Caenorhabditis elegans: one gene and its partner. The protein of the gene in region 2 purifies or fractionates together with the protein of the main gene of each other region. This does not show direct contact. Each region holds a gene or a part of one and is shown on either strand. Other genes may lie near its edges.

Region 1 (7,801 bases), 9.0 Mb from region 2:
AAGGCTACGTATCCAAAAAAAAGATGAGAGTTTCGAAATTATTCGCAACGCTGAATTTTTCACATTGTTCACGTGGAGTCAGAAAGTCCCATTTCGTTTTGATCTTCGAAAAATGCAAGAAAAGAGACGCATACATCTCATCTCTTTTCGCATGGTTAAGAGCGTGCTGACGTCACAATTTTTCTGGAAAAATATTCCCGCATTTTTCGTAGATCAACCCGCAATGAGACAGCCTGACACCACGTGATTGTTTCAATGATACCTCCCTCCCTTTACTGTGTCCATTTTCCACGAGTCGGGGATAATAATCGAATTTTTCACGCTTGTTGAATAGTTGCGACTGACCTAGAGAAAATATTGACGCTTTAGAATTTATTTTTTCGGATTTTCAAATCTACTATTAAAATTCTTATTTATCGATCCTTGAATTTTGCGAAAAATTTTTTTTAAAAACGCAACACTGCCGCACGGGGTTTTCCTCCGCCTCTTTTTCACAGTTTTTTTGTTTAAATTGATTTTTTCAATAAAGTTGCGATTTTACTAATTTTTCATCTTTTTTCGAATTGGATAACATTTTCATCCGAAAAAAGAGAAAAATACAGGCAAAATTGAAACTATTGGAAAAATCCATAAAAAAAGCAGTGTAAAAGGGGCGGAGGAAAAACCTGTGCGGCAGTGTTGCGAAGCTACGCTCCGCCCCCCACTTTCTGTGCGACAAACTTTTTTTTGCAAAATTCAAGGATCGATAAATAAATTTTAATAGTATGGATTCAGTTATAAGATTTTTTTGCCAAATTCTACGATAAATATGATGTATGTGGGTCTCGCCACGCTTTTTTGAACGTAGCTTTAAACTACTGTATATCAGGGGTGGACGGCAAACAGCGGCCAATTGCTGGTAATTTGCCCATTTGCCGGAAAATATCGTTTGCCTAACACCCCTGTTGATATACTTTTATGTAGCTTCCTTAAAAATATATAAAACGTCGTTTTCAATTAATTTGTACAAAAAAATGCTGTCTGAAACTCGGAATTTATGTTATTTTCTATAAACTTTTTTTAAAATCGTTTCGCATTTAAAAAATTCCTATCCACTGCAACTTTTTCCTCACGAGGGACGAGGAAAAGTGGTTTCTAGGCCATGGCCGAGGGGCCGACAAGTTTCAGCGGCCATTTATCTTGCTTTGTTTTCCGCCTGTTTTCTTTCGTTTTTCATCGATTTTTTTCGTTTTTTCTTAATAAAACTGATAAATAAATATTTTTTGCAGATGCTAAAACAATTTCCAAGTTAAAAAATCATGTATTCAGTGGGCAAGCAGCGGTGAAAGTGGGCATTGTAATATGATGGATTACGGGAATACAAAACCTAAACTTTTTCTGAAACATGATACATATGATGCTTAAATGCTGAGACTACCTGATTTTCATAACGAGACCGCTGAAAAAGTTTTGAGGTTTCCAAAATTCAACTTTTTTGGTGAAAAAGTCGAGATTTTCGTACAAAAAGTTGAATTTTGAAAACCACAAAACTTTTTCAGCGGTCTCGTTATGAAAATCAGGTAGCTTCAGCATCTAAGCATCATATGTATCATGTTTCAGAAAAAGTTTAGGTTTTGTATTTTCGTAATCCATCATATTGCATTGACCACTTCCACCGCTGCTTGCCCACTGAATACATAATTTTTTAACTTGGAAATTGTTTTAGCATCTGCAAAAAATATTTATTTATCAGTTTTATTAAGAAACAACGAAAAAATTCGGTTAAAAAACGAAAGAAAACAGGCGGAAAACAAAGCAAGATAAATGGCCGCTGAAACTTGTCGGCCCCTCGGCCATGGCCTAGAAACCACTTTTCCTCGTCCCTCGTGAGGAAAAAGTTGCAGTGCTATCCAAACTCCAATTTTGTATGAAAATTCTCCCCAATTTTTTCCAGCTCCTCCCCAAAAATGGTTGGTTCCTTAAAACTCGACGAACTCCTTTCCCTACCACAAGTCCACGTTAAGGACATTAAATCACTAACTGATAAGCTTCAAAACATCGTCTCGGGCGGTGCAGATCAACTGATGGTCATTTCGGATTTCGACTTTACACTGTCCAGATTTGCCGATAAATCCGGCAATCGATGCTCATCGTGCTATTGTGTATTCGATAGTGCTGTTGGAACGAATAATCCGGAATGGTGTCGGAAATTTGTCGGATTGTATCATAAATATGGTCCAATTGAGCACGATCATTCTCTGAGCATTGAGGAGAAGGTTCCGTTTATGGAAGCATGGTAGGATATCGAAAATCTGGGTTTTTTAGTGAAAATTTGAGATTTTTAGTGAAAATTTGAGATTTTTAGTGAAAATTTGAGATTTTTAGTGAAAATTTAAGATTTTTATGGAAAATTTGAGATTTTTAGTGAAAATTTGAGATTTTTAGTGAAAATTTGAGATTTTTAGTGAAAATTTTAGTTTTTTAAGTGAAAATCTGGGATTTTTACTTGAAAAATCGTGAAAAAACCTGAAAATTGAGCTTTTAGTGAAAATAACTACTTGAATATGAAATTTTCAGCTTAAAAATCCATATTTAGACGAAAAATTACGGTTTTCAGTCTAAAAAAATTGAAGAAATAACTGAAAATTGAGATTTTCATGAAAAATTCGTATTTTTCGGTGAAAAATCGATAAAACAACTCGAAAACGCACTGATTTTTCGATTTTTAAGTATAAAAACCGAACTTTTCACTCTAAAATTGATCGTTTCTCAACTGAAAATCGAATTTTTTGAGAAAAAACAATCCCAATGAATGAAAATTCATACTTTTTGGAAATTTTTGGTGAAAAATCGATAAAATAACTGTAAAATTGGGCTTTTTTGGTAAATAACTGTAAAATTGGGCTTTTTTGGTTTAAAAAAATCGATTTTTAAATCAAAATTTAGCTAGGATTACTAAAAAATCCACACAATTCTTTGCAGGTGGCAACAATCTCACGGACTAATTATTCAAGGAGGATTCAAGAAACAGGCTATTGATGACTATGTGGCACATTGTAATATTCAATTGAGGTACTGCAACATGTGTGCTTACCTGCTACGTGGCCGAGAAATGCGGAAAAATTCGGCCACCACAAGTTTTTTCGCGGCCACCGAAATTTTTACAGGAGAAAAATGGGGGGTTTATTGGCGATTTTTGGTAGAAAAAATTTTTAATCAATTATTTTTCAGAAAAAAATTTTTCGGAAAAAAACTTCAAATCAGGCCAGTTTCCACATTTTTAGTAAAAAATTATAAAAATTAAAAATTAAAAAAAAAACTTAAAAAAAAAAATTTTTCAGCAAAAAATTATTGATTTTTTCCGCAAAATTGATTTTCTACAAAAAAAATCGATTTTTCCAAAAAAAAAAATTGATTTTCCAGGAGAAATAATAAGAGATTTTTCAATTAAAAATTTTTTTTTCAGCAAAAAAACCTCAAATTCGGGCCATTTTCCTAAAATTTTGACCATAAAATTTTACCCCAAAAACCTAACATTTTGACCATTTTTCATAATTTTAGTAGAAAAATAAAAATTTCCAAAAAATATTTTTTCAGCAAGAAATAATTGATTTTCTACAAAAAATCGATTTTTTTTCAAAAAAAAAACCAAATTTTCCGAGAGAAGATGCCAATTTTTGAGAAAAATTGATTTTTCAATTAAAAAAACCTAAAATTTTGGTCATTTTTCATATTTTTAGTAGAAAATTATAAATTTTAATGTCTGAATAAATAAATATTTTCATTTTTTTAAATTCACTGCAACTTTTTCCTCACGAGGGACGAGGAAAAGTGGTTTCTAGGCCATGGCCAAGGGGCCGACAAGTTTCAGCGGCCATTTATCTTGCTTTGTTTTCCGCCTGTGTTCTTTCGTTTTTTACCGAATTTTTTTTGTTTTTTCTTAATAAAACTGAAAATAATATTTTTTGCAGATGCTAAAACAATTTCCAAGTTAAAAAATCATGTATTCAGTGGGCAAGCAGCGGTGGAAGTGGTCAATGTAATATGATGGATTACGGGAATACAAACCCTAAACTTTTTCTGAAACATGATACAAATGCTGCTTAGATGCTGAGACTACCTGATTTTCATAACGAGACCGCTGAAAAAGTTTTGAGGTTTTCAAAATTCAACTTTTTGTGCGAAAATCTCGACTTTTTTATCAAAAAAGTTGAATTTTGGAAACCTCAAAACTTTTTCAGCGGTCTCGTTATGAAAATCAGGTAGTCTCAGCATTTAAGCATCATATGTATCATGTTTCAGAAAAAGTTTAGGTTTTGTATTCCCGTAATCCATCATATTACATTGCCCACTTTCACCGCTGCTTGCCCACTGAATACATGATTTTTTAACTTGGAAATTGTTTTAGCATCTGCAAAAAATATTTATTTATCAGTTTTATTAAGAAAAAACGAAAAAAATCGATGAAAAACAAAAGAACACAGGCGGAAAACAAAGCAAGATAAATGGCCGCTGAAACTTGTCGGCCCCTTGGCCATGGCCTAGAAACCACTTTTCCTCGCCCCCCGTGAGGAAAAAGTTACAGTGAAATTAAAAACAAAATTTCCAAAAAAAAATTTTTTTTTTAATTCCGAAATTTATTTTTCCAGAGACAACGCCGACATAATGATGAAAAAGATGACGAATCACGCGGTGCCATTCATCATTTTTTCCGCCGGAATCGGAACAATCATCGAAATGTACCTCCGACATAAATTCGGCCGAGTCGAATCGAACACCCATGTCGTGTCGAATATGATGGGATTCGACGACGACGGATATGTTAACTCGTTCTCCGATCCTCTGATCCATGTTTTCTGCAAGAATTCATCGGTTATGCCGGCGGATCGCACGTTTTCCGAGCAAATTGAGGGAAGGAAGAATGTGATTCTGTTGGGTGATAGTGTTGGAGACGCTTTTATGGATGTTGGTGTTGAGGAGGAACAAGTTTCACTCAAAATCGGATTTGTTAATCATGATGTGAGGAGCATTTTTCAACGGAAAATCTAGAAAAAATCGATTTTTCCACATTTTTCCCGGAAAAAATCCGGTTGACGCAGTATTTTTTCTCGCTTTTTTACATGTTTTCCCAAAAAAAAAAAACTCAGAATGTCACGCTCCGCCCACAAAATGGATGTTTCCATAAAAATGGGCGTGTTTTACATGCCCCGCCCATGAAATGGAAGTTTCCACCGAAATGGGCGTGTTTTCACATGCCCCGCCCACAAAATTGATGTTTCCACCAAAATGGGCGTGTTTTTACATGTCCCGCCCACAAAATTGATGTTTCCACCAAAATGGGCGTGTTTTTACATGCCCCGCCCATAAAATTGATGTCACCACCAAAAGGGGCGTGTTTTTACATGCCCCGCCCATAAAATTGATGTCACCACCAAAATGGGCGTGTTTTTACATGCCCCGCCCATAAAATGGATGTTTCCACCAAAATGGGCGTGTTTTTCACAAGCCCCGTCCATAAAATTGATGTCACCACCAAAAGGGGCGTGTTTTCACATGCCCCGCCCATAAAATGGATGTTTCCACCAAAATGGGCGTGTTTTTACATGCCCCGCCCACAAAATTGACGTTTCCACAAAAATGGGCGTGTTTTTTACATGCCCCGCCCATAAAATTGATGTTTCCACTAAAATGGGCGTGTTTTCACAAGCCCCGCCCACAAAATTGATGTTTCCACTAAAATGGGCGTGTTTTCACAAGCCCCGCCCATAAAATTGATGTTTCCACTAAAATGGGCGTGTTTTCACAAGCCCCGCCCACAAAATTGATGTTTCCACTAAAATGGGCGTGTTTTCACCAGCCCCGCCCACAAAATTGTTGTTTCCACCAAAATGGGCTTGTTTTTTACATGCCCCGCCCATAGAATTGATGTTTCCACCGAAATGGGCGTGTTCTCGCAAGCTCCGCCCATATAATGGCAAAATTTTCCCCGAAGACAATGGAATCAGAACTAGTAACCCGTGTGAATCTCACTTTTTCAAATGTTTCCTTGAAAAATTAAAATTCAGAAGCCCCGCCTACTTTTTGGCGCGAAAATTCAAACTTTCCTGAAAAACCCCGAAAAGGGCGGAGCCTGAAAAACACGCCCATAAAATGGTTTTTGTTTCCAAGTGGGCGTGTCTTTGAGGCAGCCCACTTCTTGGCAGGAAATTTTTTTTTTTGAAGATTTTACGAAAAAAAAAACTCGAAAAAGGACGGAGCCTAACGGAGCCAAGCCACGCCCATAACATGGTTGTTTTGGCCAAAGTGGGCGTGTCCGAACAAGCCCCTCCCATTTAGAACCGCGCCTTGCAAAATTCTAATGGGCGGAGCAAAACAGCCATTAAATGGGCGGGGCTTGTTTGAACACGCCCACTTTGGATAGAACAACCATTTTATGGGCGTGGTCTGGATCAGTTAGGCTCCGCCCCTTTCTGATTTTTTTCGTAAACACTTTTGAAATCGAAATTCTGAAATTCCCAAAAAAAAATTAGTGCAAAACCATATTTTGCCGAAAATTTTCGGCAATTTGCCGGCTTGCCGGTTTGCCGGAAATTTTCAATTCAGGCAATTTGCCAATTCGCCGGAAAAAGATCGTTTGCCGCCCACCCCTGGAAACAACCATTTTATGGGCGTGGCGTATCGTGCTGAACTAGTGAAAACTAGAAATTTTGAATTTTCGCGCCAAGAAATGGGCGGGGTTTCGATAACTCGCCCCCACTTCTTGGTACAATCGAAAACAAAACCCCAATAATTCTGATTTTTTCAGGCTGACAAGCTCGTCGACAAATATCTCAACTATTTTGACATTGTCCTCGTGGACGATCAATCGATGGATATTCCCAATCAGATTTTGGAGGCGATTTATAATAATAAAAATTACTGAATTATTCGTTCCTTAAAAAAAATGTTTTTTCCCAAAAATTCTCATTTTTCAATTTTACCCCCCACCAAAAAAACCCCCGATTTTTCATTGTTTTCCCTGTTATTTTTCCTTTTTTTTTCCCAATTTTTACTCATTTTCCTCCGTTTTTACCAAAAAAAAAATCAAATCTGGAATATCAGAACAGCTTTAAGATTTCCACTCTTTTTTATGGCATAATTTTTTTTTTCTCCGCATTTTCACCATTTTTTCTTTTTGAAAAAAAAATTTCCAATAAATTGTTAGCTGCTTTTTAAGATATTTTTGTTGGCAATTTTGGGGAAAAATCATCAATATTGAATAGAAACTTCGTAGCCTAGGATTTCCAAGTTAGGCCACGTGGCCTAGGTTTTGCAAATTCGGCCACGGGAGCATTGACGGACAAAATGGAAATGTGCTAATTTTAATTCCATTCATCTGTACAAAAAAAAAGAGAAAAATCGGAATTTCCAGTGAAAAAACCACGTGGCCTAGGTTTTGCAAGCTCGGCCATGACTTTTATGTAAAAAAATGTCGAATTAAACTTTTATTACAGGCTATTTACGAGAAATGCTTAAATTTAAAATACAAAGGTAGGATTTCAAGCAGTGGCCTAGGTTTTGCAAGTTCGGCCACCGAATTTAAATTTAAACAAATGGTTAGATTTTCCCAATAATGCAAATTAACAAGTTTACAACAGTTTTTATTCAAAAATATCATAATTCGTTCGAAAATCTCAGTATTCTCTATTAAATCACCGCGTGGCCTAGATTTTGCAAGTTCGGCCACAAAATTCAATAATGACTTTAACCAAACGATCTAGAATTTCAACGGAATTTCACTTTTTTCAAACTGTATTCAAAACTGTCAAAAAAATTAAAAGTT
Region 2 (3,104 bases):
AATTGGAGGGGGGTGCTATAGAAGTTGGACGCACTGTACTACTTCATTAAACTGTGATCAAAAGTTACCTTAACAATCTACTTATGATTCCATTAATTTCAGAAACTACACATCTTCAAATCCGGTTTCCACAACTCGCGAGCCATATGTTGCCCAATATAGAAAATATCCAGGTGCTTTATTTCACAGAAACCCTATTATTTTAATTGATAGATTTTCAGGTTCAACCTCACGTGATACGTCCAGCGCTCTCAATCGTTACTCATACACTCCTGGTCTAACAGATCAACGCCGTCATTGGTATGATGATCCAAATATTTATTAACTTTTTTTTCAGTTTTGCCATCTTTCTTTTCCTTCTCTTTTTGTAAACTTTAAAAATAATTTGAAAACTCTTTTTTTTGTAACTTAAAAATTCTTGCTCACCACTTTCTACAGTTCATTTTTTTGTAAATATCGTATGGAGAAACTATCGGGTGTCCGATATTATTCTTTTTTTATTAAAAATGTCATCTTCTCTCTCACCCAAAAACCTAGTCAACAATGACTCTTTACATGTCGTCTTCATTCATTCTTTCATCATTGTTTCAAAATTTTGATTTTGCAGTAAAAATATTTTATTTTGAAAAGTTTGCTAGGCCAGATAATTGACATTATGAAGTCGTAGTAGGCGATGAATGTGAGCTTGAAGCATCTTTGGAAAACAGGCAAACGAAATTATGAATTTTAATTTCCAGTAGTTCCTTGAAGGAAAGTGTGTGATTCAGTTCCTCCGTGACCGTATCCTTTTGGTCCGAAAAGAGCGCCATAACAACGATTGCAATAAGGTTTACCCTCGTGCTGAAAATTATTTAATTTTTTAGAAACTTTTTTTTGAAGTTGATTGAAAACTGAAAATTGAAAGTCGGCAAGTACTTTTTCAAAACCCACAACTCAATAGTACAGCAAAAATTTTAAAAATCTAATTCAACTCTTTTTTTTTTGTTTATCAAAATAGATTGAATTGAAAAAAACGATAAAGAACTTTGGGTAGTACTCCTACCATAACCAAAAACTATAAGTTAACTTTTAAAAACATACCTCTGAATGACTTCCAGCACTTAATGTTTTCCCGCATGCTTTATTTGCACATTTCAAGCATGGTCTGTGCCAATCTTTTCCTAGAGAGGAAACTCGTTCAGCTGAAACAATTAAACAGTTATCATGACATATAACTTGAAAAAACAACTTACCGAAGTATACAGGTTTTTGGCAATTTGGACAGTTTGGCATGATTATTACGATGGTTTTGCAGAGGAACTAAAATAAAATCAAATTCGAAGAAAGTACCGAAGAAATGTCAATAGATAGAAGTATTTATATGATGGTTAAGACATGCACGCCTATCACTTATCACTGAACTTTTTTCGGAAATTTTGAATGAAACAGCTGAGTGGGAGGAGGAGAGAAAAGAAATGAGTCACAGAAACAAAACGAGCTAAACTTAGAGTTAGAGGTAAAGTGAGATAAAAAGAGAGAGAATAATGGAAACATTTTAATCTGAAAATTTATTTGCGGAACTTTGATTAACTCCTTTTGCGGACAGAATCGACTACACGAAAGTCGAGACTTCGAAAGTTAATAGTGGACAGGAACAGAGAAAAGTTGGAAAAAAGAACGAAACCAAATGGTTTATTTGTTTATTTTGTGGGTGTCTTAAGGAATAGACAGAAACGACGGTTCTCACAAAAAATATGTTGAAATGAGTCATGAAATGAATCAAAAAACACAAGACAATATACCGGAGACCGGTACGAATGAGGAAGAAAACAAATGCAAATGAGATGAATAGATTCGAAAATGAAAGTGGACAGAGGAGACCTTCTTAACCCAAATTTGAACGATTTTTCATTCTCTCACTTCAGCCCTTTTTATTTTAAAAAATTCTGTCAATCAAAGAAATTGACCTCATTCAAAATGGAAGTCGGGGCTTTAGGTCTTTGAGATTTGTATCAATTGTCTTTTTGATTGAATTTCCGATGGAAATTTGAAAAGCAGGCGGAAATTTGGAAATTAATAGAAAGGGAAACAAATGGAATGTTGATGGATTGCGGAGAAAGTGTGTTGAAAGAATTCGAAGATTTTTGAAAATTTGAACTGTAATTTTGTGAAAGAACGTGAACTGGAAAAAAAGTGAAATTCATATGAAATACGTGGAAGAAAAATTTAAATCGTGGTTTTAAGAAATTCACTCTAACAAAATGTATTTCACAATATTTCTGGCAACAAACAAAGTGATTTGGATCAAAAGTATCACATGTAAATTCAACTTTTAAAGGGTTATAGTTTTCCCTGGAAATTTTTCAGAAATCAAAATGAACGATATTACGATGAAAATTCCGACAGCGAGCAAGCTTTTGAAACTTCCAGAAGACTCAAAAGTCGGGGAAGAAGTTGAAATTCCCATTTGTAACATTCTTGGACTCCACTTGACTGGATTCTGGACGGTTCTGAACACAGCTAACGGAAAATTTGAAATAAGATGTGAGAAGGAAAGTCTGTTTCGTTGGAAATTCTTGGCTCAGATGGACCTTCAGTTTACTGGGGAAGGGAAGGTTATCAACATCAAAAACGAAATTGAGTTCTCTCCAAATGTTAATACGATCATGATTAAATCTATTGATCGAAGATACAATCAGGTGAAACTGAAAATTACTCGAAAGTCATCTTTTGGAATTGCAATCGAAGATTTCATTGATTTTGAAAAGAAGAGCAAGTGGTTGGATGTCCTGATTCGATCTGAAGATGGAAAGAAAATGATATATGCCAATTCTGGAGTAAGTTAAATTGAGTTGTGTTTCAGTTACATAAGTTACTTTTAGATACTTGCTTTGAATTCCCCGATTCTTAAGCAAAAACTGGAAAACAACAAGTTAGCTGAAATTATAATGCCATTTGAATCCTTTGTTTCAATGAAAAAACTAATGAACTTTCTTCATCCTCCTTTCAAAATGGAACGGGAAAATGGTAAGTTTACAATTAACCACAAAACTACAATCATTTGAATTTTCAGTTGAACAAGTTCTGGATCTAGCCTCAAAATGGGAAATGAAGTCGGTTATCAC

Evidence for each region.
Region 1: the proteins of valv-1 (region 2) and Y10G11A.1 fractionate together in Caenorhabditis elegans (co-fractionation; one large-scale study listed by BioGRID). This does not show direct contact.

The regions. Positions count from the first base shown.
Region 1 is NC_003282.8:16,422,704-16,430,504, forward strand, and holds Y10G11A.1 (5'-nucleotidase), read left to right. Parts: upstream 1-1,933; 5' UTR 1,934-1,946; coding exon 1,947-2,275; intron 2,276-2,960; exon of another isoform or gene 2,961-2,961; coding exon 2,962-3,051; intron 3,052-4,628; coding exon 4,629-4,998; intron 4,999-6,025; exon of another isoform or gene 6,026-6,151; intron 6,152-6,784; coding exon 6,785-6,901; 3' UTR 6,902-7,192; downstream 7,193-7,801.
Region 2 is NC_003282.8:7,444,036-7,447,139, forward strand, and holds valv-1 (Cysteine-rich protein 1), read right to left. Parts: upstream 1,302-3,104; 5' UTR 1,273-1,301; coding exon 1,233-1,272; intron 1,182-1,232; coding exon 1,081-1,181; intron 841-1,080; coding exon 727-840; 3' UTR 604-726; downstream 1-603. Other genes in the region: unc-82 (Protein kinase domain-containing protein), read left to right, coding at 103-173, 222-325; B0496.1 (BTB domain-containing protein), read left to right, coding at 2,355-2,816, 2,862-3,006, 3,053-3,104.